Linked DNA regions of Daphnia pulex. The protein of the gene in region 5 purifies or fractionates together with the protein of the main gene of each other region. This does not show direct contact. Links are inferred from orthologs where the notes say so. Each region holds a gene or a part of one and is shown on either strand. Other genes may lie near its edges.

Region 1 (4,626 bases), on a different chromosome or scaffold from region 5:
AGTAAGGAATCTGAACCAGCCTGATGTTGGGGACCGATTCTCTCAAGTTCTAGTTGGTCGGCTACTTCTTGCAAACCACCTTTTAGGTTTTTGCAACTCTTCATGAGATACTTGACATCATAGATGGTAGGAAAGTAAATCCTCAGGAGCTCAAAGAACTCACTCTCCTCCTGAGGTAGGTGGTGGTTAGTCAACATTTTCAACATATAGCCAAAGTCATATCCACTGTGGAATGACAACCACTTGATGTTATCCATCAAAACAATCCCAGAAGTCATCATCAGCTCAGCAAAATCTAATGGGTCTATGCCTTCTTCTTCATGTTTTTTGAATTGGAGACCAGAGTTCTGGAGCAGTTCTATACTGTCCTGTGCATACATATCTTCCCTATTAAACAAAGATTAAGATTTATAGTCTTCAGATGAGAAATAATTTGGTTTAGAAACCTTACCCAAGATTAAACTTGAAATTGAATTGCCAGGTAGTGTACCCAGAAGGTGTTTTGCCGTCTTTGTTCAGGAAACTCAAGCCCAGTTGTATGATTTTCAGAAGATCTACATTACACTTTAAAAGCTGGTATTGGTAATCAGCAGGGCTGCGAAATTCACCGATGGGACGGGCAACTACTCCTGGGAACTCAGTATCCATGGCTACATAATTGTATGCTTGTACAATCTGGCGTATATGTCTAAATTCGTCTTCCAAATTGTGAGCCCAGACTTCCCGAATCCCACACTCTTCATTACTAGGATGCATATTTCCTATTTAAAAAAGTAAAAGTGTAAAAATCATTGTCCTAGAAAGTTGATTTAATGAAATAAATAAAGCTAGTTACGATTTATACCAGTTGAAGTTGGCATGGCTATGGATAGTGAAGTTTCAGAAACCCAGTGATCACACTAGATTACACAAAGAATCAAATTCGTATAAACTAGCATATCCAGCAGCACATCACTCGAGCCTTCAAAACAATAAATTGATAAAAGAACCCTACAATTAATTCGATATTAACACCACTAGGTTAAATTTAAAATGATATTTGACACATCGACTCAGTGGGAACTTCACCTGAAATGTTTTCCGAGTTTTACAACAGCCTCTATATATATACAGTGGTGCCATCTTCGAAAATAGCGATAGATTGTTTGACAGAAAAAAACAGCTGACAAACGAAATGCGGCGATAGCCCCTTAATAAATAAAGCGCGAAACAAAATACGGAAAAAATATGGAACGAGTGAACGACAACCCTAAAACGTCAAATTGAACTGCGGAGCGGGAGTTTTCGTTCATTACAAATGTTGAAAACGCAAGACAAATCGATTAACAAAAGGACATATTGACATTATTCAATACTCACAAGTAATTATGTTTTTCAAGGAGTACGTAAACCAAAAATACTTGCCTTTGTAAGATGCTAACTTGCTCAGAGTAAGAACTCTAAAATAGGTTGTAAACAAATTAATTGGAGACTAACTTCAAACCGTACTTCCAAATTCGATCGTTGGTTCCAATCTAATAATCTGGCGGAAGTAATGCCAAACTTAATATTTTTGCAGATATCGCACGCAGGTAGGGCCTATATGATGTTCAAGTTGAATCTTTTGCATGTACGTTCCGCGTTTTAGTGTGACTCCGAGGCGACGTCCAGCGGCAAAGGATCAGGTTCGTCTAAACGGTTTCCAGCTACACCTTTCTTCTTTCTGCCACAGAGAGAAGTCCTCGTGCTTGTGGTTGAACGTAATTTTGCAAGTCAGAACCGAATCACTTCAGCCGGCTATCTAAAAATGGTACGATATTCGTCATTTCTCGTTTATTTACTTGTCTGTATCAAAGTCGCAATTCACTTTTCAATAATCAATTGTGAAAAGTCGGTTTTTTTCTCTCTTTTATGTTTTAATGGCGTACTGTCATTTGACAGAAAGTCACATGGTTGATATGTAAATTTGCTCATACTGAATTTTTTCTTTCTGAGTAAATGGAACCAAATGATCATGTAATCTTTTATAACTTTATGTATTTTTTAGGTCTCACTCAACCCAACCAGAATCTTGAAACATGAGGGTGAAGAAGAGAAGGCTGAAATTGCTCGCTTGTCCTGTTTTGTTGGTGCCATTGCCATTGGTGAGCTGGTGAAAAGCACTCTTGGTCCTAAGGGCATGGACAAAATTCTTGTTGGTGTTGGCCGCAATGAAGGACAAGTAGGTTTAAGATTTTTCTTGTGCTTGATTTTACTTAGTCATTAAATTCCTTTGTTAGGTTGAAGTAACAAATGATGGTGCCACCATTTTGAAAGCAGTTGGAGTTGATAATCCTGCAGCTAAAGTCCTTGTAGACATGTCAAAGACCCAGGATGCTGAAGTTGGGGATGGCACAACTTCAGTGACTGTCCTGGCCTCAGAGCTTTTGCGTGAAGCTGATAAGCTTGTTGAAATGAAGTTCCACCCTCAAACCATCATTGCTGGATGGCGTAAGGCCTCTCAGGCTGCCAAAGAGGCTCTTACTAATGCAGCTATTGATAATGGGTAAGATAGACATAATAGTTTCATTTTGCACAAAAGACCAACACAACATGTATTTGATCAATGTATTGATTTTTTTTAAAATCTCGTTTCATTTATAGGAAAGATGAAGCTAAATTTCGCGAGGATTTAATGAACATTGCTCGAACGACTTTGAGCTCAAAAATTCTTTCTCAGCACAAAGAGTTCTTTGCCAAGATCTCTGTCGACGCAGTTTTACGTTTGAAAGGATCAGGTAACCTTCAAGCTATTCAAATCATCAAAAAGCAAGGAGGTACCCTCACAGATTCCTTCCTCGACACTGGGTTTCTGCTTGACAAGAAACCGGGAGTCAACCAACCAAAGAGGGTTGAAAATGCCCGTATCCTTATTGCCAATACACCCATGGACACAGATAAAATCAAAGTAATTTAAACTTCGATGACTATCAAAGAATTTGAACTTAATCCATATTTTTAGGTTTTCGGCTCACGTATCCGCGTTGATTCCGTTGCTAAAGTTGCAGAATTAGAGTTGGCTGAGAAAGAAAAGATGAAGGAGAAGATTGAGCTCATTCTTAAGCACAATTGCACCGTCTTTATCAACAGGTTTGTCATTCTTTCATAATTCTTTCATTAATTTGAAATTTGCTATCTTATATGGCTTCAGAAATTCTTTTGTTTGTTTATGAAATATTTGAGATTCTGTCAGTTAGCTTATTTATTATCCATGTATTCTAGAATTTCTGTAGTAAATTTTATAATTTATGGTTGATTTTTAAATCAAAAATTTTTTATTTGTGTGATTTTATAGACAATTGATCTACAACTACCCAGAACAACTGTTCGCTGATGCCGGTGTTATGGCTGTGGAACACGCCGACTTTGATGGTATCGAGCGCCTTGCGTTGGTAACTGGAGGTGAAATCGTCTCTACTTTTGGCCATCCCGAACTTGTCAAACTTGGACGCTGTGATCTTATCGAAGAGGTTGAGCAACTTTCACTTTCTGGTAGAAAGAAGAACTCACGTAATTTGTTTTTTAGGTCATGATTGGTGAAGACAAATTGTTGCGATTCTCTGGCGTTCCATTGGGTGAAGCTTGCACACTTGTGTTGCGTGGTGCAACCCAACAGATTCTTGATGAAGCTGAACGTTCAATTCACGATGCTCTGTGTGTTTTAGCTTCGACTGTTAAGGAAACACGCACCGTCTACGGTGGAGGTACTATTTTTGTATTCCATGTTATCCGTCGTGCACCTGGGATTTTACCATTTTATTTCAAAATCCCAAGGTTGCAGCGAAGTACTCATGGCCATGGCAGTATATGCTTTGGCTGCCAAGACTCCGGGTAAAGAATCGATGGCTATGGAGGCTTTCGCCCGCGCTCTTCTCCAGCTACCCGTCGTGATTGCCGACAATGCGGGCTATGACTCAGCCCAACTTGTGTCAGAGCTCCGAGCAGCACATTCAGAAGGGAAAGCCACCTTTGGTCTAAGTATGTCGTCAGAAAATCTTCATGTTGCACATGCAATTCTAAAATGTGTTCATTGATTGTAAATAGATATGGATCTCGGCAAGATCGACTGTATGCAGCAGTTGGGCGTGACTGAATCGTTCGTTGTCAAGCGCCAGGTGCTTGTATCAGCAGCTGAAGCGGCTGAAATGATTCTTCGCGTTGATGACATCATTAAGGCAGCACCTCGCCGTCGTGAACAAGACAGGAGTCATTGTTAAAGTTGCACTGTCGATGCACAGCTTACGTCCTAACTTGAACTCGCATCCAGTTTTTTCCCCCCTTAAGTGGTCCGCTCTTTTTGCTCGAGCCCACTCTTTTGCTTCGTCCTTCTGTACTGGTCCTATAATCTACTACAGCTGATACACTGAACAATTGCTTAGTAAAAGAAGTTAATTCTTGTTCTTCTTTTTTATATTAGTTTCTGCTCTGTTAGTTAATCCAGCTCTAATATACTAAAAGGCTTCTCTTTAGAAAGCTATGGTATTTCCGTACGACTTAAAAATGGAAACGTGAGCACAATCTCATTAGAGCTTGGTGTGTCAAGCTTTCTCGCCCGTGAAGCCATTTTTCCAGTTTCTTTTTCGAGCCGAAATTTTTATCTAAAAGCAA
Region 2 (4,790 bases), on a different chromosome or scaffold from region 5:
ATCTTTTGACTTATTTATTTCGTCTGCTTGAAAGATAACAGCGATGAGCGATTGGTATCAGGGTGGCAGTGACCAAGCAAATTCAATGCGGCTTTTCGTCCGAAAGCACCTCTCTCCTTTTATTAATGACCGCTTTTTGTCTTGGAGTACAGACTGTACTCTATTCGGCCTCATGCGGCCAAAGTTTTGGACGTTTCAATTTTTTGTATACAATATACAATTTAGAAATACAAGAATTACACAGCTTTAGCTTGTGTTGAAATCGTCAACAAAATAACCAGCGTTTTTTTTTTTTTTATGTGTTATTTAATGCTGAAAAAAATGGAATTTTTTTCTTTTTTATGGAATTTCAAACTCGTGATTACATTTTTTAGACTATATGAAGCGTAATAAAGTATGAATAAATGTTCCAGTAAATTTGGCTAATGTATTGGTCATTGGTATTGGTTGTTGGCAGATCTGTCATGTGTGTAAATTAGTTATTGGGATTATGAGATGTTGTTGTTTCATAACTGCAGAAAAATTAACCTTCTGATTTAAGTTTCTACCCGTGAGTATGATAATGACCCGATGGATAATAACTAGGCGGATAGTAGTAGCTGGGAGCGTTATGGTTAGGATGACGATTGTTCGCTACGATTGCTCCAACTGCTGCTCCAGCAAGAAAGGGCGCATGCCGGGAATGACGGATTAATTGCGGTTGAACAACATCTGCGAATTTCATTTTCCCCACGTATGTCGGAGTGAACGGTTTTTCTTCAGAGAAAGATTGTACGTCGTGCGTCTGGGCCAACCCGCTGAAAGTCAAGAAGCTCAACAGAACAGATAGAATAATCTGTTTCGTAAGACAAAAATAGAAAAAACCTTTTTAAAAATTATAGTATATTCAAATAGAAATTAAGTTACCACGAAAGACTTCATAACGGTGTAGTGTAGGTTTTCAAAGAAAAGAGACGAATGAGTCTTACTGACAGGTGATTCGAGACAAGATTGCTGTCAAAAACTGAAATTACCTTGCCTTTTATATCATTCATGTACGTCGCACGAGGACGTTGTAAGTAAACAGAGAATATGTATTCATCGGCTTTCTGCTTTTAAAAATTCAAATAGCCAACTTCACATCGAAGTTATTAGCATGATAAGGTATATTTTGTCTTGGTACGTTGCATCACTGAGTACTTATTGACACAAACAAAGTAAAAGAAAGGGTCGAAAATTGTCCTCGGGTTAGATTCAGAATTTCGATGGCATGTTGGGTTTACTCTTCAAACCGAAGATGACAAGCGAATCTAATAAGCGAATGGGCGGGTAAACGATCGAATTTCTTTCGAGAGAGGAAGCTTGTCGTAAGGTTATCTTTTGTATGGACGACAGGAAAACCCGTACGTCAGATGGGGAAATCCATTCTAGGTTTATTTTGTGAATATGATTGTATGAGTGACGCACGGTAGAAATGAGAAGTAGGCTAAACAAGTAAATCATTGGTAAATAAACCAAGTGATTTCCTGTCTGTGTTAAATAGCCTTCGGTAAGGACTAGTTCCGAAGAAGTTCCCTTCTAGAAAATGAGGTAATTTTTTTTTTTTTTTTAACAAATATAAGTTAAGCAATCTTCGATTCCATCAGATTAATCAGAACTAAATGGCGCAATTGAACAGAAATGTGATTACAATTGAAAACACTTAGATCCCGATTTCGATTGAGGATCAAACCGATCAAACCGAGAGCGCTTCGTAAAACCCGCTTCTATTCTTCTGACTTCTGCTGACCCCTTTCTCACTAGCAGAGTAGCAGTTCCCTAGGTGCGCCGCTAGCCGCTATTATCAGTTGTACGTAACTAGAAAACTACCCGCACTGTGGCGCTGTTTCGCGCCACTGACATAACTTGTTTTTTCTTTAATTCTTTTGCACAATTGCAGTGAATGCAGTCGTTCATCTACCCGTTCTTGCTGTGTTCCACTCTTTTCTCTTTACATTTTATTAGTCTTGAATAGAGTTAACTTAATAAACCGCGTGCTTTTTTTTACTGCATTCCGCTCATACATTCGTTTGTAAACCTGATTACGGCCTGAAACGCCTTTGTTCATTCATTTTTTCTGTTGAAAGGTAAGCCTTAAAATATTCATGTCTACCTTTGTTTTAGAATTTAAAAGAAACTTTCATTTTAAACGATGCAAAATTATCGTTTATAGAAGGCTGTTTCCTTCTTTCTAAAAAAATGTCTGAGACTCTCATCAATGAAGAAATTATAAGTATGCCTTTAAATCACGTTTTACAAGTTATTATTTCACTTCAGTGAAAAATTGTGGTCTTATAATCAACAGGCCTGCCAGATGATATAATTAAGGAAGAAGAAAATCTTGCAAGGGAAATTGAAAAGGAAGAAAATGATAAACAATCTGAATTGGTTGAAGCCAGGAAATCAGAAAATCAAGTTTCAAATGCTGATGAAATGAGATACAAAAGGTTGATGTGCTTGCTTGATCGTAGTAAGTTTTATGCCAATTTCCTCCTAAAAAGAATGAACTCTAAGAAGGAGGAAGACAAAATGAAAGTAAATATATCCATCAGTGTATTTTAGAGTTTTTCTATTCATATTTTATAGTGATTATTTTTTACATGTAGCAAGAAAAGTTATCCAAAAGGGAAGCAGCAGGGAAGAATAAGCAAAAAGAGAATGGAACCACCAAGACTGAAGAAACACCATCAGAGATACCAAAGTCAGGAAGGAAGACAAGAGGAGCCAAGCGTCAACCTGAATTGCTTAGTCCTAGTGAGAAAACTGATACAACAACAAGGAAGAGGATGCGCAAGAATAATTTATCTGATGCAAACATATTGAATGTGATTGATGAAGAAGAACTTCAGAAACGTGCAGCAAAGGTAAAATTTATCTATACATTTAAAGTGCACATATAACTACAGTTTTTTTTTTGGCCAGGTGGAGGAAGATTTTGAGGATCATGATGAAGAAGAACTTGCTAAGGCTGAGAAAACTGATAAAGTTAATGAAAAACTTCCTGATCTCTTTGAAGGAGGTACCATGAGAGGATATCAAATGGAAGGATTTCAGTGGCTTGTGGTATGAAGTATCCTTGCATGAACTGTTGGTTTCCACTAATTTCTCTGTTTTATTTATATCGTAGTCTCTTTATGAAAACGGAATGAACGGTATCCTAGCAGATGAAATGGGTCTCGGCAAAACAGTTCAATGTATCTCACTAGTTGCCCATCTCATGGGTAAGGGAGTTACAGGACCTTTCCTTGTTTGTGCTCCCCTTTCCACTCTTACTAATTGGGTAGCGGAATTTAAAAGGTTCACACCTCGTGTAAGCAAAAACAAAATAGTTCTACTGCTTTTATTGATACTTTTGTTTGGCAAAAATATTATTATGTATTTTTATATAATTATTTACAGATACCTGTAGTACTCTACCACGGAAGTCAGGAAAAACGGGATGAAATTTTTGGGGAAATCAAACAAAAATTTAAAATACCTGGAATCGACGGCGTCAAATTCTATCCTGTTGTTATTACTTCATTTGAAGTGGTCATTCGAGGTTTCTAATGAACTTTTCTCAAATACGATTGAATTAATAAATCTTGCTTCTTTTTTTAGAAACGAAATCATTGGGGCGTTTGCAGTGGCGCTACATCATCGTTGACGAAGGTCACAGACTTAAGAATCATCAATGCCGATTAGTTCAGTACGTACATCTTTTTAATTTTGTGTACGTATTATCAATTACAAATTTACCCTTACTATTTCAACAGGGAGTTGAAAAAATATCCCTCGAATAATCGTCTACTGATGACTGGAACGCCGTTGCAAAATAATCTATCAGAATTGTGGTCTTTGCTTCATTTTTTGCTGCCAGAAATTTTTGATGACTTGGACGTTTTCACATCTTGGTTCCGTGTTGAAGAATTTCAAGGATCAGATACAGACCATAAAATCGTTGAATTGGAACGCAAAGAAAATGTACTTTCTATGCTTCATCAGGTACGTTTTTATTCCTTCGTTTCGAATCTACTTTAGATAACATAAATGCTGTATCGATGCCTTTGTAGATTTTATCTCCATTTCTCCTACGTCGTCTCAAAACTGATGTCGACTTGGAAATTCCAAAGAAGAAAGAGCTTATCGTTTATTGTCCAATGAGCAAAATTCAAGATGAGTTATATCGCGCTACAATTGACAAAACTATCGCGTTTGTATTAGGAGCGGAGGTAAACTTTCAAATGCAAATTTTTTTAAATCTCTGAAAATAATGAGTTATCCAACCCATTCAAAATCAAGTTCGATAAAAAACCCGAGCCATTGGAGTATCAAGCCAACGGCCGACCTAAGCGGAAAGCCAAGAGGCTAGACATAAATTACTCGACCATGGGATTTGAAGAGGAAACGCAAAACTTGGAGAAGGATTCTGCTGAAAAAGTCGATGCAGATATTGAAGAGTGGATGAAAATGTCAAATGACTTGCATTGGGAACTCCGTCAACCGTAATTATAATTTTTTTTTTTTATACATAAATGTGTAACACATTGATTTTCCATCATTTCTGTAGGAAAAAGAAAAGTATCGAAGCGAAGTCTACCAACATCAAAATGCAAAATCCGTTTATGCAGTTAAAAAAGATTGTCAACCACCCACATCTTGTCAAATGGGAAACTGATGCGGAGACAGGTGGGTTGCAAGTTTCATAAATCCGGGATATTTTTTAATATTTTCTTGTATAGGAGAATACGTTGTTGACGAGAGCATGGTTAAGGACTCGGGGAAATTAACTG
Region 3 (4,832 bases), on a different chromosome or scaffold from region 5:
CCTTCAATGTTAGACTCGACAATTTCGAAGCCAATAGTGCCCTCCTCCTACGGAACAGCAGATGTCGTTGTTCTCAGTAATAAACTGGGAAAAACGCAGAATATTTTCCTAATAATAATGTACCAGTCGCCAAACATGAACTGAAATCCTCGTACCAAATGGCTCGTGCTTTGAAAATTAAAGCTCTTTGTTCTCTCTATCAGTTCTAATCTTTGGCGCTTTACACCGTAATTATTTCCTTAATTCAGCGGAGATGGATGCATTTCTTCTTCACACGACAAAATAGAATTTTAAAAAAATAAAGAAGTAAGACGGAATTCATAACGAATAATTTTCATTGGCATGTTCTTAAGTGTAGGTTGACAGCAATTTTACGAAGATACTCTGCACTATTAAAGCCAAATGGAAATGGGAAGAACGCTGTTCGGCAGAGACCTAGACAAAAACGTCTAGGAATGTGCACTATCAACTATTCCCCTGCCGCTACCGCCGAGCCAAAAACAAATTATTTTTCTCCGTTCATACGGAATTTGGTTCGGCTAGTCTAAGTTTAATTTGCTTTGATAAATTATTCGAGGAGCATTGCATTGGCTATGAACATTTTTCAAATATTTTTTCAGTTACCTGTATAAAACTGATTATGAAATCCAATACAACAATGCGATAACTAGAGGTTGTTACGATTGGATCAACTTTATTTAAATATCAAGCACATTCGTAACACCAACTTGGCACAACGTATTTTCGAATTTTGTTTGTTTTTCGAGTCTGGAAGATAACAGGAAAAACCTCTATGTATGACATTGACATGCTCATCCCTTATCACGAGCAAATTAGTAAATTCTAAAATTACAGCTCACTCTTATAATCAGTGCAGCATATAAAATTTACTTTATACCTATTAACTTCGACTTTCGCCCCATTGTTAGTGATCAGAGACATAAATTTTTTCTCAGATGAATACAAACTGCAACAAAATATGATATAACCTTGAATAAAAAAGAGATAAGCCATGGGCCGTGGCTTTCCTCGAAGTCTAATAATGGCTCCGAATTAAAATTTTTTATGAGCGCAAAGCAGGAATTTGTGGGTTCGGCAGGCATTCTAGGCATGTGGTCGATATTTTAACCATGTTTATATGAGCTAGTAATTAATAAGTTGCAGAACCACCTAGCCTCAATGAGTACCGAGTTGAGTGTTCTCTCGTATTCTGCCACCGAAAACAGAAAATTCATTCTCCCATCCGAAAGAATGAGGCCATTGCGCAGCTCGGGATGAGAAAGAAAAACATGGCAATGATGCTTTCACCGATAACTTGATGTACAAGGCCGATTCTTTCTTTGGACAAGAGCCAATCATCTTTCAGTAACCATCTATGCCCACATAGCGGTAGGGAAAAGAACTCATCAATCAAATAGAACTCAATTAACGAAGATGGTGATGTTTTCCCATCGTTAATTCTTTTTTCATGAAATAGTACAACAAAATTTGACACTAAAATTTTAGTTTTCAATTATAATAAAAGGAACAAAATTCATCTCCCAACAAATAATTCCCTCCGTCTTAAAATTGGACAAGTCGCCGCTGGGTGACTCTAGCTGGTTTCCTTAATGATGGTTGCCTCAAAAAGAACCAACTTGCTGTCCTCACTGCCCTCAGAAGGAGAGTGGTGCGGCCTTTGGGACAAATTAGACCTACCATTTTACTAGAAGTTCTGCAATCTTGCTGGTCAAAAAATCTGCGATGGCTGACAATGCTCTTTACGAAATCCTTGGTGTCCCAACCAAAGCCACCGATGCTGAACTCAAAAAGGTAGTTATGTGTTCGGTGTTAATTTTGTGAAGCAAAAATATTCTAAAATCCGAAATACGACTCTAAATTCCAAGAACAAACTATCGATTTTTCAGGGTCATGTCGTGGCATGTCTAGGAACAATGGCTACTTATCTAGCAGTTTTGTAATGACAACTGATTTCTGCTAACATGTTCTCTATCTGTTTTAGGCCTACAGAAAACTAGCCAAAGAGTTCCACCCTGACAAGAACCCTGAGGCTGGTGAGAAGTTTAAGGAGATATCATTTGCCTATGAAGTCTTGTCTGATCCAAAGAAGAGAGAAGTTTATGACAGACATGGACTGAAAGGATTGCAAGAAGGTGTACATGAACATGGTGGTTTTGGCGCCGATGATATCCTGTCCCATTTCTTTGGTGGTGGGTTGTTTGGAGGTATGGGAGGTGGTGGTCGTCGAAAGACTCGTCAAAGAGGAGAAGATACTGTGCACCCTCTCAAGTAAGGCTCTTTGTGCTGTGTGCAGCTTTAGTTTCTAGGTTTTAACATGTCTTTGTATGTTTAGAGTGACATTGGAAGACCTCTACAATGGAAAGACATCCAAGCTCCAGTTGAGCAAGAATGTCATTTGTGCTCTTTGCAGTGGGTATGTGTATTTTTATGTCATTTGATTTGGCCAGTATTTTACAAATTTTTTTTTCTGTTACAGGCAAGGTGGCAAACCTGGAGCCAATGTTACTTGTGCAACCTGCCAAGGTCGTGGAATAAAAATTTCCCTGAGACCACTTGGACCTGGTATGATGCAACAGATTCAGTCAGTATGTTCAACCTGTAATGGAGAAGGTAAACAACCATTGGAAATTTTAATTTTCCTTGTCTAATGTTGAATTAATCTTACAGGTGAGATGATCAACGAGAGAGATCGCTGCAAGGCTTGTAAAGGCAAGAAAGTACAGAACGAAACCAAAATTTTGGAAGTTCACGTCGACAAAGGCATGAAAGATTCACAGAAAATTCTGTTTCGCGGTGAAGGTGATCAACAGGTATTTTGCACTACAAACATTCATTGATCTGCAGTGTCTTATAACTGTGATATTCCAATAGCCCGGAGTTGAAGCTGGCGACGTAGTGATAATTTTGCAACAGAAACCCCATGAAAAGTTCAAGCGACAAGGAGACGATCTTTGCGTGATGCACACTATAACTCTGACTGAAGCATTGTGTGGGTTCTGCTATGTGTTGAAGGTTAGTTGTTGTAAGATTTCTTTTCGACAGATTTTTTTATTCTACCGTTTTATATTTTGGTGCCAATAGCATCTCGACGGCCGTGATTTGGTGATCCGACAAGCACCAGGAAACGTAGTCGAACCCGGCAGCACTAAGATGGTGCCCGGCGAAGGAATGCCTCGTTACCGTAGTCCTTTCGAAAAAGGAGAGCTGTTTATTAAATTTGACGTAGAGTTCCCCTCTAGCCATTTTGCTGATGAATCAACAATTATGGTACATTAATTCTTGAAAACCAGTTGGGAGTGGATTAGTTAATGAAATAACAAAATGTTCAATTTTGTTATTTGTGAAATTCGATAGGCGATCGAGAAACTTTTACCCGGACGACCCTCAGTCATTCCACCCTCAGGAGAGCACGTCGAGGAGGTTGACCTTCACGATTACGACGCCAATGAACGCCGTGACGGAGCTGGCGGACCCAGCAACGCATATGATTCTGACGATGAAGAGGGAGGTCCATCAGGACCAGGTGTACAGTGCGCCCATCAGTAGATTCACAAGCGAAAACAAGTCGATCTTGTTTTTCGTATTCGGCGATTCCCTTTCCTTTATAACCAAATTTCAAATCTTGAATTATCTTAAGTTGAAAAACATTTTCCTCGACTTTAAAAAAAAAAAAAAATTGCTTGTCGTTCTGAAAACATTTGTTCGTCCAGTGTAGCAAAATTAAGAAGTGGGGGGTCGACTGTTCACCGTCACGCTGGTTAGGTGAATCGTTGCCTTTCATGGCATATAGTGAAAGAACAATCAAGATTACTGTTTTTCGTTTGAATTTGTACTCTGGGAATCTTGGCCCCCCTATCTCGACTTGACATCCTTTGGTAAACACGAAATAAACGATGTCACTTCAAGCTTTCAAGCTTGGTTCTTTTTCTGTAGCCCTTCCCTGTCTTGTCATGTTTACTCATCATTACTCATACTGTAATTAGGATCCGTTGTGCTGCTTCGCCATTGCTAATGATGTCACTGTTCCAATTTGTAGAAGAAAACGATGCGTTATCACAGGTTTTGTTGACTGCAGATCATTACCGAATCCCTACATTTAGTCAATCACCAAATCTTGATAACTCAATGACAATAATGGAAACATTGTGGCAAGACTTAAGCAGAGCTTATTTTATTTTGGCTGTCATTTCGAGTGACTTAATCAAAATTGACGATTGGGATGTGAGTGTGTGCGTTCTCCGTTTGGATGTCGAAACTAGAATAGCATCTGAGTGCAAAGGCTTCCGGATAGGGATTACACAGAAAAACGGGATCACGCTAGTTGCGACTTGAGGAAATCGGCATGTCGAGTTTGAACAATAAATGATGTTGATGGCTGACAATTCAGACGTTCAGTTCAGCCGAACTGGGAAGCTCATTGAAGCATTTATTCTGTCTTCGCTTGGCTTTTCTGCATTGTTCACCGTGACGTGTAATCTAGGCGGAGCATCAGCGAAGAAAAGGCAGTCGCTTTTATGGCAATTTTTCTTCATCGTGAAATGTGTGTTCAGCTTGCGCTACTTTGACAACGAAAGGATTTTGTAAAAGATTTTCAAAGGATTAGAGGCAGATGATGCAGCGATTCGAACGACAATGGATACAGAGCGGTCAAACAACATTCAACCATTTACATCAATGTGAACTCAAAAAGTGGAAAATGGAAGAAAAGAAACGAAAGATGTTTTTAGTTTGGTTTGATAATTCACCGACAACACAATTTCATTTGAGGACATAAACATGTAACATAACATAACTGAATAATATAGCTAACG
Region 4 (4,799 bases), about 2.1 Mb from region 5:
GTTATTTCTTCGTTTGTTGCACCTTAATAAACACGTGCTTGATGGCTTGGGTGCTTCTAAACTTGTAATTTTCAATTTGAACTAAATTCGTCTGCAACAGTCATTCCAAACTCCACATCCACTTTATCTGAAATAGGTAAATAGTGGGAGCAAATCCCAAGTTGGCTAGACTGGACAAGACTGGACTCGCCAGGGACTCGCAGGCTAATGAAGACTAATGAAGTAATTGGTTAGCGAATTAACCATAAAAATAATGAGGTAATATGATTTATTACTTTTGTATATTATCAAATAGACACCAACGAAAATTTCTTCTGAATCTTGATTTTATGACTTGTCCGGCTGCATTCTAGTTTCGCGCATGATTAGTAGGCCTACAGCAACCTACTAATGTATCCTACCAAGTTACATTCCCTCTGATATTTTTCAATGAAAAAAGAATCTTAAACTCTACGATATGAGACTTTAATTTTTTTATTTCCGTTGGTGAATGAAATATTTGAAATAAGAATAAGAATAAACGCGCAAACATCTACAGATCATAGAATTGGAATTTAGAAAAGTGATTAGTTAAGAATAGTGTGTCGATCATAAATATGTCGACGTTGTTCTTGAACAGTTTTCTTCCACTTATCAGTAGTTTGGCCAACACGGTTGAGCACACCTGCTCCACTTGCCCTTAAAGGTTGAGAATGGGTTTCACTTTCATCCTGTAGGATAAATTAGTTAAAAAGATGATTGAAGGAAGAAAAGGGAGAAATTTATAGAATACCTCTTCATTATTATGTTCTTGATATTGTGTAGTGGTTTTCTTGTTGAGAAGGGGATCAAGACAAACAAGAAACAGCATGTATATGACTAGTAGAGATATTATCCAGATAACAATAATTACAACAACCTGAAATTTAAAAAAATTTATATTAGAATAGTCTACAATACATTATGTCAACAGTTTTTTTGCCTTGATTGTTGTTGTGTTCCTGCTTTCGTACTTGCATTCACATCGTGGACAAAATTCTTTTTCCTTTCCTTTGATATCATCCCCTACCCTTGGGAGCACAACATTTGTACAATCACATTTGTTAGGTGGAACATTTTCAATGTAAAGTTTTCTATGTGACTGAGTTCCGTTTACTACGGCGGTATCTGGACAAATGCACTTGCATCTGACATCCTCATACTGTGCATTCACCTATTAGGACAAAAACAAACAAAACCAAAATCATTAAATTTCTAAGCAATGTTTTCTTAATAGTAAACATAAAAATCAATACATCACTGATGAATGAGAAGATGAAAAGGACGAAAAAAGAAAGAAAGAAACTCTTTCGAAGTGTCATAATTGCAGCAAAATCCGATACTGATTTGTCGGAAACAAAACAGCTGACAGACTGTCGACCACAGCTTGTGGCGCCAACTGGTTTGCTATTTAAAAAAAAAAAGAAACATTGTTTTTGTTCAAAGAGGAAATGGGTCGTTAAACATGTATTACAGCAATAAAAATTTAAACGTTACTGTGGAATTGAAATTTAATTACTTATTCTTTTTAGTTCTAAATAAACTTTTCTCCATTTTCGCCACTTAGGAGCCCCCATCTGACAACACTGTTTTGTTCCTAGCGCGCCATCTCGAAATTCTACTGTTACCTAAAAACGTGCCCAACTCTGTCGGCTGCGAAGTGCGAACTGCGAAGTTTGGAGGACGTTGTACTCGAAGTAGTGGAAAAGATTGTGTTAAAAGAATCAAGAATTCAAACTATCTGAGTGCACTGGAAATTGGAATATATAGGTATGGCCCATTTCAATCTCATTTAAAATTATGAACTGCTAATGCTAATTGTGTTTTTTTTTGTGATTTTTCCGAAATCCCAGAAATCGTGGGACGTTCATTTTCAGAAGAAAACGATGGCGGATGATTTACCTTTTCGAGCAGAATATGCAAAGACGGGTCGAGCTAGTTGCAAGAAATGCAAAGAAAACATTCCTCAAGGCACTCTACGACTTGCTGTAATCTTTCAGGTAACATTTTATTTTTTATTGTTTGGTTCTGGACTTTGTACACTAGTACAGTATTGTTGTTTTAGGCTGCCAAATTTGATGGGAAAATGGTTTCGTGGTACCACTTTGATTGCTTTTTTGAAAGGCAACGGCCCAAATCAGCTGGTGACATTGAACATTTTGATCAATTGCGCTGGGAAGATCAAGAGAAAATTAATCAGATGCTCAAAAGTAAAACATTACTAATATTGCTATACATTGTATTTAGTTGATTTCTAACTATTTCCTTTTTCCAAAGAAATCAGTGAAGGTGGGATTGCTGAACCAAGTAAAAAAGGAAAAGGCAAGGGGAAAACAGCTAAAGTTGCTGAACCCTTTTCTGATTTTCTAATTGAGTATGCAAAATCTGGGAGAGCTGCATGTCGAGGCTGCTTAGAAAAAATTGCAAAAGTATTATAATCATTAAGTGCAAGTTCTAAAACGATCCATGTTCAAACATGTCTATAATGTTCAAATTGTAGGATGAATTGAGGATATCAAAGAAAGGATACGACACCAAAGGAGGCATGAGACATGGACAAATGTTGGATATGTGGTACCACGTCAAATGTTTTAAAGAGCGACGAGAAGAATTAGAATTTGTTAGCGGAGTGGATACAATCCCTGGATTTAAAGATCTAACTGCCGACGACAAAAAAGTTCTCTCAAAAGAACTCCCTGCTCTTTCCGCTAAGTATTGACAAGAATCGAAATTTGGAAAATCATGTATTATAACGGTTTCTTTTTTCAGCAAACGAAAAGTTGACGGGGATGCTGTCGACGGACCTTCGGATGCAAAGAAGATAAAGAAAGAAGAAAAAGAAAATGAACAGCTCAAGGAAGAGATCAAGAAGCAAAATAAAATTCAGTTTAAATACAGAGACCAGTTGGAAACTCTGACAAAACAAGAACTCCAGATTCTGCTGGAATACAACGATCAGCAAATTCCTTCTGGAACATCTGAAGTACTTGCACTTTTTATTAATATTTTTATTTTCTTCTGAGTGTTAATCAATATGTCGCATAGTTAAACTATATGCAGCTATTTATCTTTTTAGATGTTGGACCTTCTTGCCGATGTAATGGCGTTTGGAGCTTTGCTTCCATGCAATGAATGCAAAAGTGGACAGTTTTTCTACAAGTGATTAAAATAATAGAAATTTCAAGTCGGTAAGCCTTACCTATATAGATTTACTTCTTCTTCTACAACAGGAGTGGCATGGGTTATCAATGCTCTGGAAACATGAGTGGCTGGACGAAGTGCCCCAACTCGACAACAACTCCCGAAAGGAAACCATTCAAAGTTCCATCGGACCTCTCGGAAAATTACTCATTTTTGTAATAAGGCTGTTGTTGCCATACATTAAGTTACTTTCTAAACTTCATTCTTCTATAGGAAAAAGTACAAATATGTTCCCGGACAGAGGGTAATCCCAGCGCTAACTCGCACTATTCGTATGAATCCAACCGAAGAAGTGAACGTGAAAAAAGAAAAGTAGCTATTTACTCAACTAGATAACGTGCTAGTTCTGTCTATTAATGTTTTCTTTTTCTTTTAGATCCGATTCGAAACGCCCACCCACACTAGAAGGCTTGAAATTCATTCTTGATTCCAAGCTTGAAAAGTCTAAAGAAAAAGTCGAAGCTGAAATAAAAAAATTACTAGGTTCTGTAGGTTCGCGCGTTACCGAAAAAATTGCAGCCGTAATTTCTACGAAAGGTTAGAAATTTGAGTGGGTAGTTTCTCTTATGAGATTAAGCCTTTATATGTGGTATTACTGTTTTACAGACAATTTAAAAGAAAAGGATTCAAAGTTGAAGAAAGCGTCTGAACTCGGTATTCATGTTGTAGACCTTAGCTTTTTGGATGCAATCAAAGCAAGCACTGGCGAATCTGCCTCATCCATTATAACGAAGAAAAACATCGCACCATGGGATTGCCACAGTGTAAATTTTTTTTCTTTTATTGCCCTAATTTTTGAGATTTTTTAAAAACTGTAATAAATCTAGATCGAGAAGCGTCTTGGTTTGGACGAGTCGGGTGCCACGAAATCTTCTGGAAAATCGAAAGGCTCAGGTTGGTTGGACTGTTTATTACTTTTAATGTTTCCCAGTAAAAACTGTAGTATAAGTATGGGGGAGTCATACGCTTTAAACTTGCAAGTAAATCAAGTTCAAGGTCACAACTCAATCCTAAATTAATTGAGTCGTCTGATGACTATGAAGGGATCCAAGTCTGCCCTCATAGACAGATACGCGACTAACATATTTGTTGATTTATTTCACGCTAAAAACGAAGCTGAATCTCGTAACTAAATTGTGTTTTCGTTTGCAGAAAAATCTGGTTCAGGCATGTCCGATAAACTGAAGCTGAAACTTAAAGGAGGAGGAGTAGTTGATCCCGATTCTGGTTTGGAAGATAAAGCACATGTCCTGAAGACGAAAAATGGTCTGTACAGCGTTGTACTTGGGATCGTTGACATTCAAGGTGGAAGAAATTCTTACTACAAGCTTCAAATTCTTGAACACGACAAAGGAAACAAGTAAATTGGCTTCGCTTCCCCCAGTGGCAATTGTAGATAACAACTATAATTTTTTTTTTTTTTTTTTTTTAATTCGACAGGTGGCATGTATTCCGTGCTTGGGGTCGAGTTGGTACAACGATTGGAGATACCAAGCTAACTAAGATGGATACCAAACAAGAAGCAATAGAGGATTTTGTTGCTCTGTACGAGGAGAAAACTGGTAACCTTTGGGAAAATC
Region 5 (4,971 bases):
TGTAGGCAGCGTACGTACGCCGCAAGGTACCCGAAGGGGATGTTAAGGGTATACTAGTTGGAATAGTAGAATTGCTGTATTGGTATAGTTTTATAAAGGCAGAGCTATAGAATAGTTATAGAATAAAAATAATATTCTGTTATAAAGGTAGGCCTATTATTAAGATTAATTAATAATATTTAAAACAAAAATGTTATGCCCTTAGTTTCCGGAAGAATGTAATATGCAGAAATCGAGAAAGAGATGAAAAGCATATTTCCGCATGTTTCTATCCAAACATTTAATACAAATTCAATTCCCAAAAACCTAATATGATATGGCGCGGCGTAAGGGTAAGGCGTGACTTTGGTGCGGCGGAGGCTTCGCCCCGCCACCCCACGTCACACCGGATGTTGTTAAAATTAAATGTAAGTAACTACCTATCAGCACTTCTTTTACTGGAGATTGATAGCGTTAGGTGCGGTTAGGTAATAACATACAGTGACTTCTATTCTATCATAAGCCTACAATATTACTCCAACAGGATGATAATTTTGAAAAGAAAAATAAGACAGGCTAGAGATGGTCCAACAATCAACGGCGGTACTCTACGCTTTTTCTTCGATCCTGGGTCATGCTGGTCATATTCAATAGAGACGATGCTGTCATCCTGTCACATGTCTCTGTATTATCGTCTGCTCTAACAGCTATTGAAATTCTGTCAAAAAGTAACAAGAACTCCGTTTGATCAAACGCCTGAATTGATTGCAGCCAAATTTTCAGAATAGATGTAAAAAATTGTAAGCTACCGATTGCTGCCATTGAAATGCAATTAAATTGTTGATTACAATCAATAATTGCCAAAAACTAGTGCAGCCATCTATGTTGTGTTACGAGAACTGAGGGTGCCCATGTAAACCATACTGTAAACGAAACTTTGACCAGTAACCCTTCGGGTAATTCAAATGTGCCAATTGAATTTACAGCAAATCTGTAACTACATACTACATGAATGAAAGGATAATAATAATAATAATTCAAATTTAGTTCGACTTTAAAATCGCCGCACTGATGGAGCCAAGAAAGAAGAAACCAGCCAACGAAAAAGGAAGTACTCTAATGACTACAATTAGCCGTGAAAATCGCCAAGCTCTCCCTGCTACTGTACGTATTTTAAATATTGATTTTGATTTTAAAAACTGAGAAGAATATTACGAGTTTCTAAATAATTATTTAAAAAATGTTGGGGATTTAGTTGGATTATCGCAAGCATAAATGTATGGCACCAATTCGAAACCAAGCAGCGGTAATTCTTCGTTTTTCTACAGTTATCCAGAAAAGTTGTTGCGTTTTTAACTATATTTACCTTACTCTTTATGATATTTTTACAGTGTGGAAGCTGCTGGTCCTTTGCTGCCATATATCCACTCGAGTTCTCTGCTTGAGGTTCTATGCTATTTTGGACTTTTGGTCGTGGGTGTTTGTAGCTTTAACCCTGGGTGAATTTCATTTGAAATACATTTAATCAGCAGAAAAAAAAAGAATTCGAATAAAATTATGTTTCCTGGAGCGATTACCATTTATATCCCGATGATGAAAATTTTCCGTAGAGGCTTGCGGGTTTTTTCGAGTGCCAAGTTTGAATCCCGCGGCATTTGAACTGAAAAAAGTCGTCTGCTTAAAAGCTTTTTGTATGTACCTTGGATTTGGCGGCAAATTTCTAGAGCGTGTTTCTGGAACTAGAATTGGAAGATTTCTGCAACGTGTAAAATACAATCACCTATCGTGCTTCGTAAAATTATGGTGTTCCATTGTACGGGACTAATTTTTTAAACATTCAATCTATTATAATCATCGATACTAGTGAGTTATTCGTTACTAAATTGCCTTGTAGATGACCTCTAAATAATACGTATTTTTTTTTTGCTTAGAAATGGCAAGAAGGAGTGCAAGAGTGTCAGAAAAATTATCAGTCCAGTCTCCTCCACCAAGAAATGTAGATTCTTCTCCTAAAACGAAGACAACAATTAAAAACTACTTCACAGTTCTTGATCCATATGTTTCTATTGAAAAATTGAATCTGGAAACTCCCCAAAAAACATCACCAACCAAAAAAGTGATCAAAGATGAACGTGAATCCTCTGAGGGATCTAATGAGGAAAATGAAACACCTGTCAAAAAAAGTGAAAAAAAGACAGAAAATGTGATTACAAAAGCCAATTCTGAAATGTCAGAATATGAAAAGGAAATTCAACGAAACATTGAAGAAAGAAGGAAAATGTTCCAAGAACTTGTTGGGGACGCCAAAAAGGATTTTGAGAGTGAAGTAATTAGGGAGAAGGTAAACAAAGCCACTCAACGTGGACTAAAAAGGAAAATGGATGAAAGGTATGTAATAACTTGAATTGATTGCAGAAAAGATTTACAAACATATTTTGCATAGCATTGAAGTCCCTCCCTTGAGAATGTCTTTACGAAGCAGAAAGCCACCTAAAGAAGAATTTGTCATTATGAAAGATAACGATGAAATCAAGCAATGGCCTAGTAATCCCAAAGTTAATAAATCAGGTAAATGCAGTAAAGTTTTTTTGTTATAAGCTAAGCCTAAAAATCTTTAATTTTAGGTACCTTTACATTAGCTGATGCCTACTTGGACCAAGAGTCAATTGATGACAGCAAATTTATAGAAGAAATGATTCCTTTGTTGGAAAAAGAGGGTGAATTAGAAAAATTACCTGCAGATCAACAAGATTTCTTGAAATTGATGAAATCCTTCAGCATTAACGAGGAAGGAGTAGCCAAGGTGTCCAAGTCTCGAATTTATTCCCTTGTTTGGCATCCGAGTAACTGCAAGCTCCTTGTTGCCGTCGGTGATCGTGATGGGAACATTGGTAATGACATACATTGCTTGTTTTCTGCCAAGTGAAACAAATTGTCAAATCTCATTAATTTGCACAGGTTTCTGGGATATTGATAAGCTTGACGACAAACATCAAGGCGTTCGGGCGTTTAAGGTTCACAACCAACCAATCAACTGCATAACTTTCGATAAGTTTAACTCAACAAGATTGCTAACCACTAGCTACGATGGTTATGTCCGATGCTTAGATTTGCATTCCAACGTGTTTGATGAGGTAATATACTTGAAATAGGAACATGAATCAGAAATTTGTGAAATTATGAAGGCGTTAATCTCCTGTCAACTTGTCTTGGATCATAAGGTTTACTCGATCAAAAGAACGAATAAAACGTGGACAGCCTATCACGCTCAGAAAGACCCATCTACCCTAATCATTTCACAGTGTAAGTAATAAGTTTAAAAAACTGTATAAACAAATTTTTACCCGAATTGTGATGCTATATGTAGCCAACGGAGATGTAGCGGTAGTTGACTGCCGGACAAAACCTGGTAGCGTTGCAAACTTGATCCAATGTTTTGAAATGAGCGCCAGAACAGTTAGTTTACACCCACAGGATGAAAATCTCTTCATGACGTGCAATCGCTACGGGTAAAAAAAAAAAAAAAATTAATTAAATTAATTGTCTTATTAAAATTTTTCTTTTGATTTCAGAGAAATAGGAATATTTGATGTGCGATACACGTCTACAAACAATAATGACCTCGCCGTGCCAGTCGTTAGTTTCCCGAAAGCTCCAAAAGGAGTTCATGGAGCGTTTTTCTCTCCTATCAGCGGACAGTACGCCCTGACTACATGTACCGACGACACCTTGAAGTTGTATGATGTCCAGAAGGGCAAATCCGAACCAGAGTGTAAATAAAATAAAATATTACCTAATCGAAATTTATGGGAATGAAAGAAAAACAAAATCTATTAACAGGCATCAAGTCCATATATCATAACAACTTCACTGGACGTTGGCTCACCCCATTCAAAGCTGTTTGGCATCCACAACGGGATGACGTTTTTATCGTTGGAAGCATGGAACAGCCTAGACGAGTAATAAAATCGAAAAACAACTTTCTTTTTAAATAAGAAAACAAAATAAATAGAACTGACTCTTTAAATAGGTGGAACTGTATGGCGCTCCCTCCGGCACACTCCTCCATAACTTCAACGGGGATTTCCTGGCATCGGTGACTTCAATAAACGCTTTTCACCCGACAGTACCTATTTTTGCTGGCGGCAACTCAAGCGGCCGAGTCCACATTTTCCGTGCTTAGTTTTACCTTCCAAATATTTCACGACTTTTCGACGATTTTGGTTTGAAAAGTTTTAAGTGGCATCACAATTAAAACCACAATATATTTGTGTGGAAGCAGTTTTCGTTGGTAATTTGAAGGCTTCGTCTGAGTAGATAACTCAAATTCTACCTCTGAATTGATAGATGTATGTGCCTGCTTCTTTGCTCCTCCCAATACAATACACTTTTTAAAAAACAAGTTTGATTGTGAGACTGATAGAACAAATTTTGAATTTTTACTGGTGGCTGGCATATAAAGCGGTCAAACTTAAATAGTCGAACCCACACATAATCTCTGTTCATAGTTTTAGCTCTCATATTTACTCTAAGTTTTCTCAATTCTCTCTATTTTTAAAAAGTGTCTTACCTTTTTAATTTTTATCTCCGATCGATGGGAGTCGGCTTGCGTGTTTTTCTTTTTCAAGCGCCGAGTTTCCGCAATTTAGTGACTTTTCCGCCGCATTTACCGCTTCCCAACGGATAAACTATGAAAATCGTCTGCTCAAGTTCTAACTTCTAAGTGTTGCTAACTTGGTATAAATTTTTATTTGGCGGCAATATTCTTTATCTTGTGCTTGTGCCTTGTTGTTCTAAGGAATTCTCTTACCTACGTACATCTTTGGTAGGCAATACATTTTTTATCAATTCACCTTCTATAAGACGATAGTTTATGCCAATTTTTTCTGTAACTCACTTGGTTGATCCCATGTAATAGGGCTACAAACAAAATTGCACAGATATTTTGCTTCTCTTGGCATCATGCAGAAAAGAAGCTCAACATTTGCAGAT
Region 6 (4,651 bases), on a different chromosome or scaffold from region 5:
TTACGCACTCCCTTGCATACACAGGTTCCTTACGTATGTAACCCACTGGAATGGCAGTTGGAGGATAAATTGCTTCAAACTAATTGATAAAAATAAATTGGGTTAAGCGAAACGAATTTTTACTTTATAATATAGAATAGGGTTTATACCTTTAGCAAATGCCGCTGAAGAGCATAGAGTGGATGAGACTTGAACTCTGAGATGCTGGTGGGCATGGGTCGATCAGTGAGGCTTTTTTCCATGCTTTCGTCTTCGGCCTTGGATCTGGGACTAGGTTTTTCTCGATGAATATTCAAAAGTTTACTCCAGGTAGGATGTGCTCGCTGTTTGCGAGTAGTCGACAAAAACGAGGAAGCATAGCGGGCTGTTACATCCTTCCATGTCAGATCAAAATTGTAAGCCACTGCGTATAGAAGCGGATCGGATGCGTTCCGCTCTAAATGACGATCACAATGAATCTGACCAGAAATGACATCCACACTCATCCACTGTTCTTCCTGTTCTAAATAGACTTCCATCCATACGTCGGTAGTTTTCTTCTTTTTTGCTAAAGCGTCGCCTTCACTGTCAGTGGAAATGATTTTCTTAGACCGTTTTTGAGCATTACTTTGAGCAGCGTGACTCTTGTTCTTTGTCGAAGTTGTAGATTTCTCTTGGATTTCGGAATCATCAGAAGTGGGTTCTTCATACTCGTCAGAAGAACTTTCCTTGTTACGCTTGAGAGTAGTTTTCGATTTTGGTTTTTTAAAGTCGCCTTTAGTCGTACTTTTTTTAATCTCCTTCGGGGAAGTCTTTTTCTTATTAACAGAAGTTTTACTAAGCGAAACAGCTTCTTCCTCCGTGTCATCAAAAGGGGATTCTTCATATTTTACTGGCTTCTCAGCTGACTTTCTTCGACTACGTTTGCGTAAATCATTCGGTGGATCAGAATTCTTCATTTGAGATGTTGAATCCTTGATTTTTGAAGTGCTAGGCCGCGACTTATGAGCTTCTTGGGGGTTTGCGGCACTTTTAGTTTTTGGTGATTCAGGTTTGAGACGACCTTTTCCAGCTGTAGCAAGAGCTTTACCTTTATTTGAACTGTTTTTCGGGTTAGCAATTGTCTGCTCAGATCCTGATTTAAAAATAAGAATTTACCGATAATCCCAGATTGACCAACATTAACAAGTTTCCTTACCAACAGTAGATTTTGCGGATTTCTTGGTCCTCCTGTCAATGACGCACCGAACGTCAGATGTATTAGCTTTCTCTATCTGGACAGGGGAATGTTTCTTCTCTTTTGTTTTCTTATTTTGATCTGGCGATTTCTGTTGAAGTTCACTTGAATCCACTTTGGCCGGTAAAGGCTGAAGAGATAAAACCAGCCGAGATAAAATACCTAATGAACGGCACACGGCAACGCAGGTGTAAACTAATTCTTCAACGCTCTGAGCTTTACCAGAGGAAATACAGTTTAATATGTCTTTTACTTCTGGATTACTTTGGGTTACTCTCGGTGTGCCCACATTAAAGTGTTTTGCTACCCATTTCATAAATTTTTCTAAATAATTAAGATCGGTGCGGTTTGGTGGGAATCCTGTTGGTGGAACAACAGACAGCGCTGAAGCCATCACCACTGGATCACAGAGCATTTTATTGACAAGGTAGCCGTGCGCTAAAAGCCCAACTAATGATACCTGATGCAGATCCTGGGGACAGAACAGAAATGATTAAATTTATCGATTTCAATAATTATATAAACATTTTTCATACCATTTGAATTTCCTTACGTATTCGATTGATTTTAAGACGAATAAAATTTTCAACGTCTCGTCCCTTCTTTTTATGTTTCAGCCCTGTAACTTCGAGGGTGATTTCGACACTTTTAGGTAGTTCTCTATCTTGTTCAGGGACATCACATGATGGCTTTACTCTTTCCCAGTTTTCATCATCATCTTCAGAGCAAGAAGAGTCTTGAACTTCTTCTTGTTTTAGCATTTCAGCTAAACTGATTTCATTAGTCTGATTTCTCTTTACAGCGTTTTTGGTCCTTGTTTTGGTAGGAAGTTGCTTTATCTTCTTTCCTCTTGCTTTAGTTGAAATGACTTCTGTTTTCATTACTGATTCATTTTCTTGTTGTGATTCATTTTTTAATGCTCTCAAATTTTGTATCCAGGGATCGACACCAGTTGGAGAAACATCCAACTGTTCCACAAACTCTTTTTGTAAGGAAGTGCAATGCGATCTTTCTTGATCCTCTTTCATACATAAACTATTTGTCATTACAGAATCTTTATTACATTGTTTTTTTGAAGCTGATGTGGTAGTTAAGCAGTCATTTTCAGAGTCTGATGAGTCACTAAGATCAAGTTCGGATTTCATTTTAGAGATATCATAACTTACAGGTTTGAACCCTACATTGATTGGAGCTTGTGCAACTACTTTTGCAATTTTCTTTCTTGGAATGTCTTTAAAACTGGTTTCTGAATGTCTATAATTTCGTTTAGCTTTAGCCAACTTGGCAGCAGATGTGGATAAAGGCTCTATGCTGGTTTCTTCGTGATCTTCTGTTTCTTTGTCTTGATTCACAAAATCATCATCCTCTGAGCTACACACAATTTTTGGAGGTGGTTCTTTTAATTCATCATCATCACTTTCATGGTAGCTTACTTGATTTCTGTTAGAAGATCGAGTGATGTACCTTTTTCTCTCAGCCATATTTTCTTCTGTTTGAGGGCTTTCAGATTTCCTCTTGTTAGCTCCTTTATTTGGAGCCATTTTAATTTAGATAATCTCGTTATTATCTTTGCTTCGTAAATTTTTTAACCCACGCGACTGACTTTGAAATTTGATCCGTAGCTATTTAATCTTCAAGGACAAATAAAAGAAACATTTTTTTTCTATAAAACCAACATCACTCTTAAGCTAAAAAATCACAAAACTTCAATTTCTGACACTGTTGAATTTGAATGTTGATTTGATTCAATTTGATTGATGCAGTATACAGCAGACGACGATGTTATAATAAATAATACTCTGCATTCTGCAATCCGAGGCCCCGAGGGGTTATTTTATTATAGAGTGACATCTAGGGCCAGGGTTGAAAAGGTAAATTTAAAAGGTAAGTGAAAAAAATTGGTGAAGCGGATGAGCGTAGTTTAAAAAAAACGCCAATATATTAAAATTTTTATTGTAATGTTGATAAATTTGGACACCCAATTTATAGAGCATTCTTGATTCTCGATGAAAGCTTGAAATTTTTTGAATTTCCCTGGCTTGGGAGAAAAAAAGGAATTCGTATGAAAAAAACTTCTCTCTCTTCTTAATACCAATTATTCAGCTTTTTTTCGTGTACCTACCTAATTGATTTGTTAGTTACAAACGCATTCACAATCATCATCTTTAGACCAGAGAATTCCACAAATTGCCCCTCTTGAACCCGGAATGAGAACAGCACTCTTTTCTTTTATAATATTTTTATCAAATTTCATCCAGCAAATGCCTCCCTGCCCCTGAATTGCAAATTAATTTAAAATTGGTTGTAAAGGTGAATTGAAATTCGCGAAAATGTCATTTGATTACATTACTTCAACATTTGTCCAAACGAAGTGGTTACATGGCGGGTTTCGTTTGCAAAGCTCCCCACAGAATTTTCCATCGGAAGGTTCTTTTTTTATATCATTTCCAGGAAAGTTGCAATTATGGGACCAAAATAAATCGTTTTCCAGCTTCCATGATATCACCAAGTATCCACAAACAGATCCTGGAGAATTCAAATGAATTCTTTTTTCGGGTAATATTCCGCCCGATTTTGCCCAACAGGTTCCATTCTATAAAAAAATTCTCCAAATTAAAAAAAAAATAAACATCACAGATGGTTCATATCAGTTTTACATAAGGGCTATCTACATTTTACAAGTTACTATACTTTCCTGTGGAGAACGGACATTATACGTCGCATACAGCTCAATACACTATAGCGATTAAATGCGTATAATTGAGGCACAAACTTAGCAATGTCCACTTTCGGGTACTGTAAAACTGTAAATACATGCCTATGTAAATGACAAATACTTGCACATACTTTATCGGAAGTTGTAGTTGTAAATGTGAAATGTGTACAATCTGCAACATCAAATTGGCAAAAACCTCCACATTCTTCTGCTTTAATTGTTTTATTTACAACATGATTTCCTTCAAAATCACAATTGTTGTCCCAGCGGGTGCCTGCAGCGGACTCCCAATTTTGAAGGGCCATTTCAGTCTTGATGATAAATAATGCCATCAAATATGAAAAAATGTTTTTCATGGACACCATGTTTAGACTTGTGTTGTGAAATGCCTACGACAAACAACTAATTGCATGAGTTCATTTTATTTCCTAACCGGAAAACAAAAACCACAAAATAAAAGCTAATAAGCTATAGGGCTCTTTCGGATCTGTTTTCTTTAGCCGTTTTATCTGGCAACGCAGCATGGCTGGTAGACTTTTTTAGCTCGAGAACGGGGAGAAGAGGGAAAATGGGACTTTCTTACTGAAATTTATACTGTATAAAAGAATCTTCTGGATTAGCTTATTTCACTAAGATCTTAAGTCGTTTATAAATCCCCTTTTCTGTGAGCTCAGGAAACCTCGCTTTGCTTGGCGGTATGGTTTTTACGTAAGGGGTGG

Evidence for each region.
Region 1: the proteins of WD repeat-containing protein 76-like (region 5) and T-complex protein 1 subunit beta-like purify together in Homo sapiens (affinity purification with mass spectrometry; 4 studies listed by BioGRID and IntAct, with this or other methods). This does not show direct contact. The link is inferred for Daphnia pulex from reciprocal best matches to the Homo sapiens genes WDR76 and CCT2.
Region 2: the proteins of WD repeat-containing protein 76-like (region 5) and lymphoid-specific helicase-like purify together in Homo sapiens (affinity purification with mass spectrometry; 4 studies listed by BioGRID and IntAct, counting the BioPlex papers as one, with this or other methods). This does not show direct contact. The link is inferred for Daphnia pulex from reciprocal best matches to the Homo sapiens genes WDR76 and HELLS.
Region 3: the proteins of WD repeat-containing protein 76-like (region 5) and dnaJ homolog subfamily A member 2-like purify together in Homo sapiens (affinity purification with mass spectrometry; 3 studies listed by BioGRID and IntAct, with this or other methods). This does not show direct contact. The link is inferred for Daphnia pulex from reciprocal best matches to the Homo sapiens genes WDR76 and DNAJA2.
Region 4: the proteins of WD repeat-containing protein 76-like (region 5) and poly [ADP-ribose] polymerase 1-like purify together in Homo sapiens (affinity purification with mass spectrometry; 4 studies listed by BioGRID and IntAct, with this or other methods). This does not show direct contact. The link is inferred for Daphnia pulex from reciprocal best matches to the Homo sapiens genes WDR76 and PARP1.
Region 6: the proteins of WD repeat-containing protein 76-like (region 5) and DNA repair protein complementing XP-C cells homolog purify together in Homo sapiens (affinity purification with mass spectrometry; 3 studies listed by BioGRID and IntAct, with this or other methods). This does not show direct contact. The link is inferred for Daphnia pulex from reciprocal best matches to the Homo sapiens genes WDR76 and XPC.

The regions. Positions count from the first base shown.
Region 1 is NC_060023.1:8,135,402-8,140,027, reverse strand, and holds T-complex protein 1 subunit beta-like, read left to right. Parts: upstream 1-1,609; 5' UTR 1,610-1,786; coding exon 1,787-1,789; intron 1,790-2,026; coding exon 2,027-2,200; intron 2,201-2,258; coding exon 2,259-2,524; intron 2,525-2,622; coding exon 2,623-2,926; intron 2,927-2,980; coding exon 2,981-3,108; intron 3,109-3,313; coding exon 3,314-3,488; intron 3,489-3,544; coding exon 3,545-3,722; intron 3,723-3,792; coding exon 3,793-3,996; intron 3,997-4,062; coding exon 4,063-4,235; 3' UTR 4,236-4,405; downstream 4,406-4,626. Other genes in the region: CCR4-NOT transcription complex subunit 7-like, read right to left, coding at 1-387, 452-761, 836-860. UniProt on the Homo sapiens protein: Component of the chaperonin-containing T-complex (TRiC), a molecular chaperone complex that assists the folding of actin, tubulin and other proteins upon ATP hydrolysis.
Region 2 is NC_060026.1:9,602,021-9,606,810, reverse strand, and holds the start of lymphoid-specific helicase-like, read left to right. Parts: upstream 1-1,881; 5' UTR 1,882-2,105; intron 2,106-2,191; 5' UTR 2,192-2,217; coding exon 2,218-2,251; intron 2,252-2,323; coding exon 2,324-2,553; intron 2,554-2,624; coding exon 2,625-2,882; intron 2,883-2,940; coding exon 2,941-3,081; intron 3,082-3,145; coding exon 3,146-3,328; intron 3,329-3,417; coding exon 3,418-3,559; intron 3,560-3,618; coding exon 3,619-3,706; intron 3,707-3,773; coding exon 3,774-4,002; intron 4,003-4,070; coding exon 4,071-4,229; intron 4,230-4,299; coding exon 4,300-4,502; intron 4,503-4,567; coding exon 4,568-4,686; intron 4,687-4,739; coding exon 4,740-4,790. UniProt on the Homo sapiens protein: Plays an essential role in normal development and survival. Involved in regulation of the expansion or survival of lymphoid cells. Required for de novo or maintenance DNA methylation. May control silencing of the imprinted CDKN1C gene through DNA methylation.
Region 3 is NC_060020.1:3,557,405-3,562,236, reverse strand, and holds dnaJ homolog subfamily A member 2-like, read left to right. Parts: upstream 1-1,644; 5' UTR 1,645-1,743; coding exon 1,744-1,812; intron 1,813-2,002; coding exon 2,003-2,289; intron 2,290-2,353; coding exon 2,354-2,434; intron 2,435-2,497; coding exon 2,498-2,631; intron 2,632-2,688; coding exon 2,689-2,831; intron 2,832-2,892; coding exon 2,893-3,033; intron 3,034-3,102; coding exon 3,103-3,288; intron 3,289-3,375; coding exon 3,376-3,567; 3' UTR 3,568-3,926; downstream 3,927-4,832. UniProt on the Homo sapiens protein: Co-chaperone of Hsc70. Stimulates ATP hydrolysis and the folding of unfolded proteins mediated by HSPA1A/B (in vitro).
Region 4 is NC_060024.1:8,492,631-8,497,429, forward strand, and holds the start of poly [ADP-ribose] polymerase 1-like, read left to right. Parts: upstream 1-1,630; 5' UTR 1,631-1,788; intron 1,789-1,871; 5' UTR 1,872-1,904; coding exon 1,905-2,018; intron 2,019-2,083; coding exon 2,084-2,228; intron 2,229-2,295; coding exon 2,296-2,447; intron 2,448-2,518; coding exon 2,519-2,730; intron 2,731-2,787; coding exon 2,788-3,001; intron 3,002-3,094; coding exon 3,095-3,177; intron 3,178-3,248; coding exon 3,249-3,374; intron 3,375-3,432; coding exon 3,433-3,531; intron 3,532-3,595; coding exon 3,596-3,756; intron 3,757-3,825; coding exon 3,826-3,983; intron 3,984-4,046; coding exon 4,047-4,113; intron 4,114-4,371; coding exon 4,372-4,579; intron 4,580-4,659; coding exon 4,660-4,799. Other genes in the region: uncharacterized protein CG1161-like, read right to left, coding at 567-710, 773-898, 962-1,192, 1,275-1,340. UniProt on the Homo sapiens protein: Poly-ADP-ribosyltransferase that mediates poly-ADP-ribosylation of proteins and plays a key role in DNA repair.
Region 5 is NC_060024.1:10,606,174-10,611,144, reverse strand, and holds WD repeat-containing protein 76-like, read left to right. Parts: upstream 1-1,670; 5' UTR 1,671-1,842; intron 1,843-1,910; 5' UTR 1,911-1,912; coding exon 1,913-2,367; intron 2,368-2,422; coding exon 2,423-2,547; intron 2,548-2,603; coding exon 2,604-2,870; intron 2,871-2,937; coding exon 2,938-3,113; intron 3,114-3,200; coding exon 3,201-3,282; intron 3,283-3,346; coding exon 3,347-3,488; intron 3,489-3,551; coding exon 3,552-3,751; intron 3,752-3,819; coding exon 3,820-3,938; intron 3,939-4,009; coding exon 4,010-4,162; 3' UTR 4,163-4,381; downstream 4,382-4,971. Other genes in the region: WD repeat-containing protein 76-like, read left to right, coding at 4,942-4,971. UniProt on the Homo sapiens protein: Specifically binds 5-hydroxymethylcytosine (5hmC), suggesting that it acts as a specific reader of 5hmC.
Region 6 is NC_060026.1:11,145,187-11,149,837, forward strand, and holds the start of DNA repair protein complementing XP-C cells homolog, read right to left. Parts: upstream 3,013-4,651; 5' UTR 2,758-3,012; coding exon 1,753-2,757; intron 1,689-1,752; coding exon 1,178-1,688; intron 1,115-1,177; coding exon 150-1,114; intron 80-149; coding exon 1-79. UniProt on the Homo sapiens protein: Involved in global genome nucleotide excision repair (GG-NER) by acting as damage sensing and DNA-binding factor component of the XPC complex. Has only a low DNA repair activity by itself which is stimulated by RAD23B and RAD23A.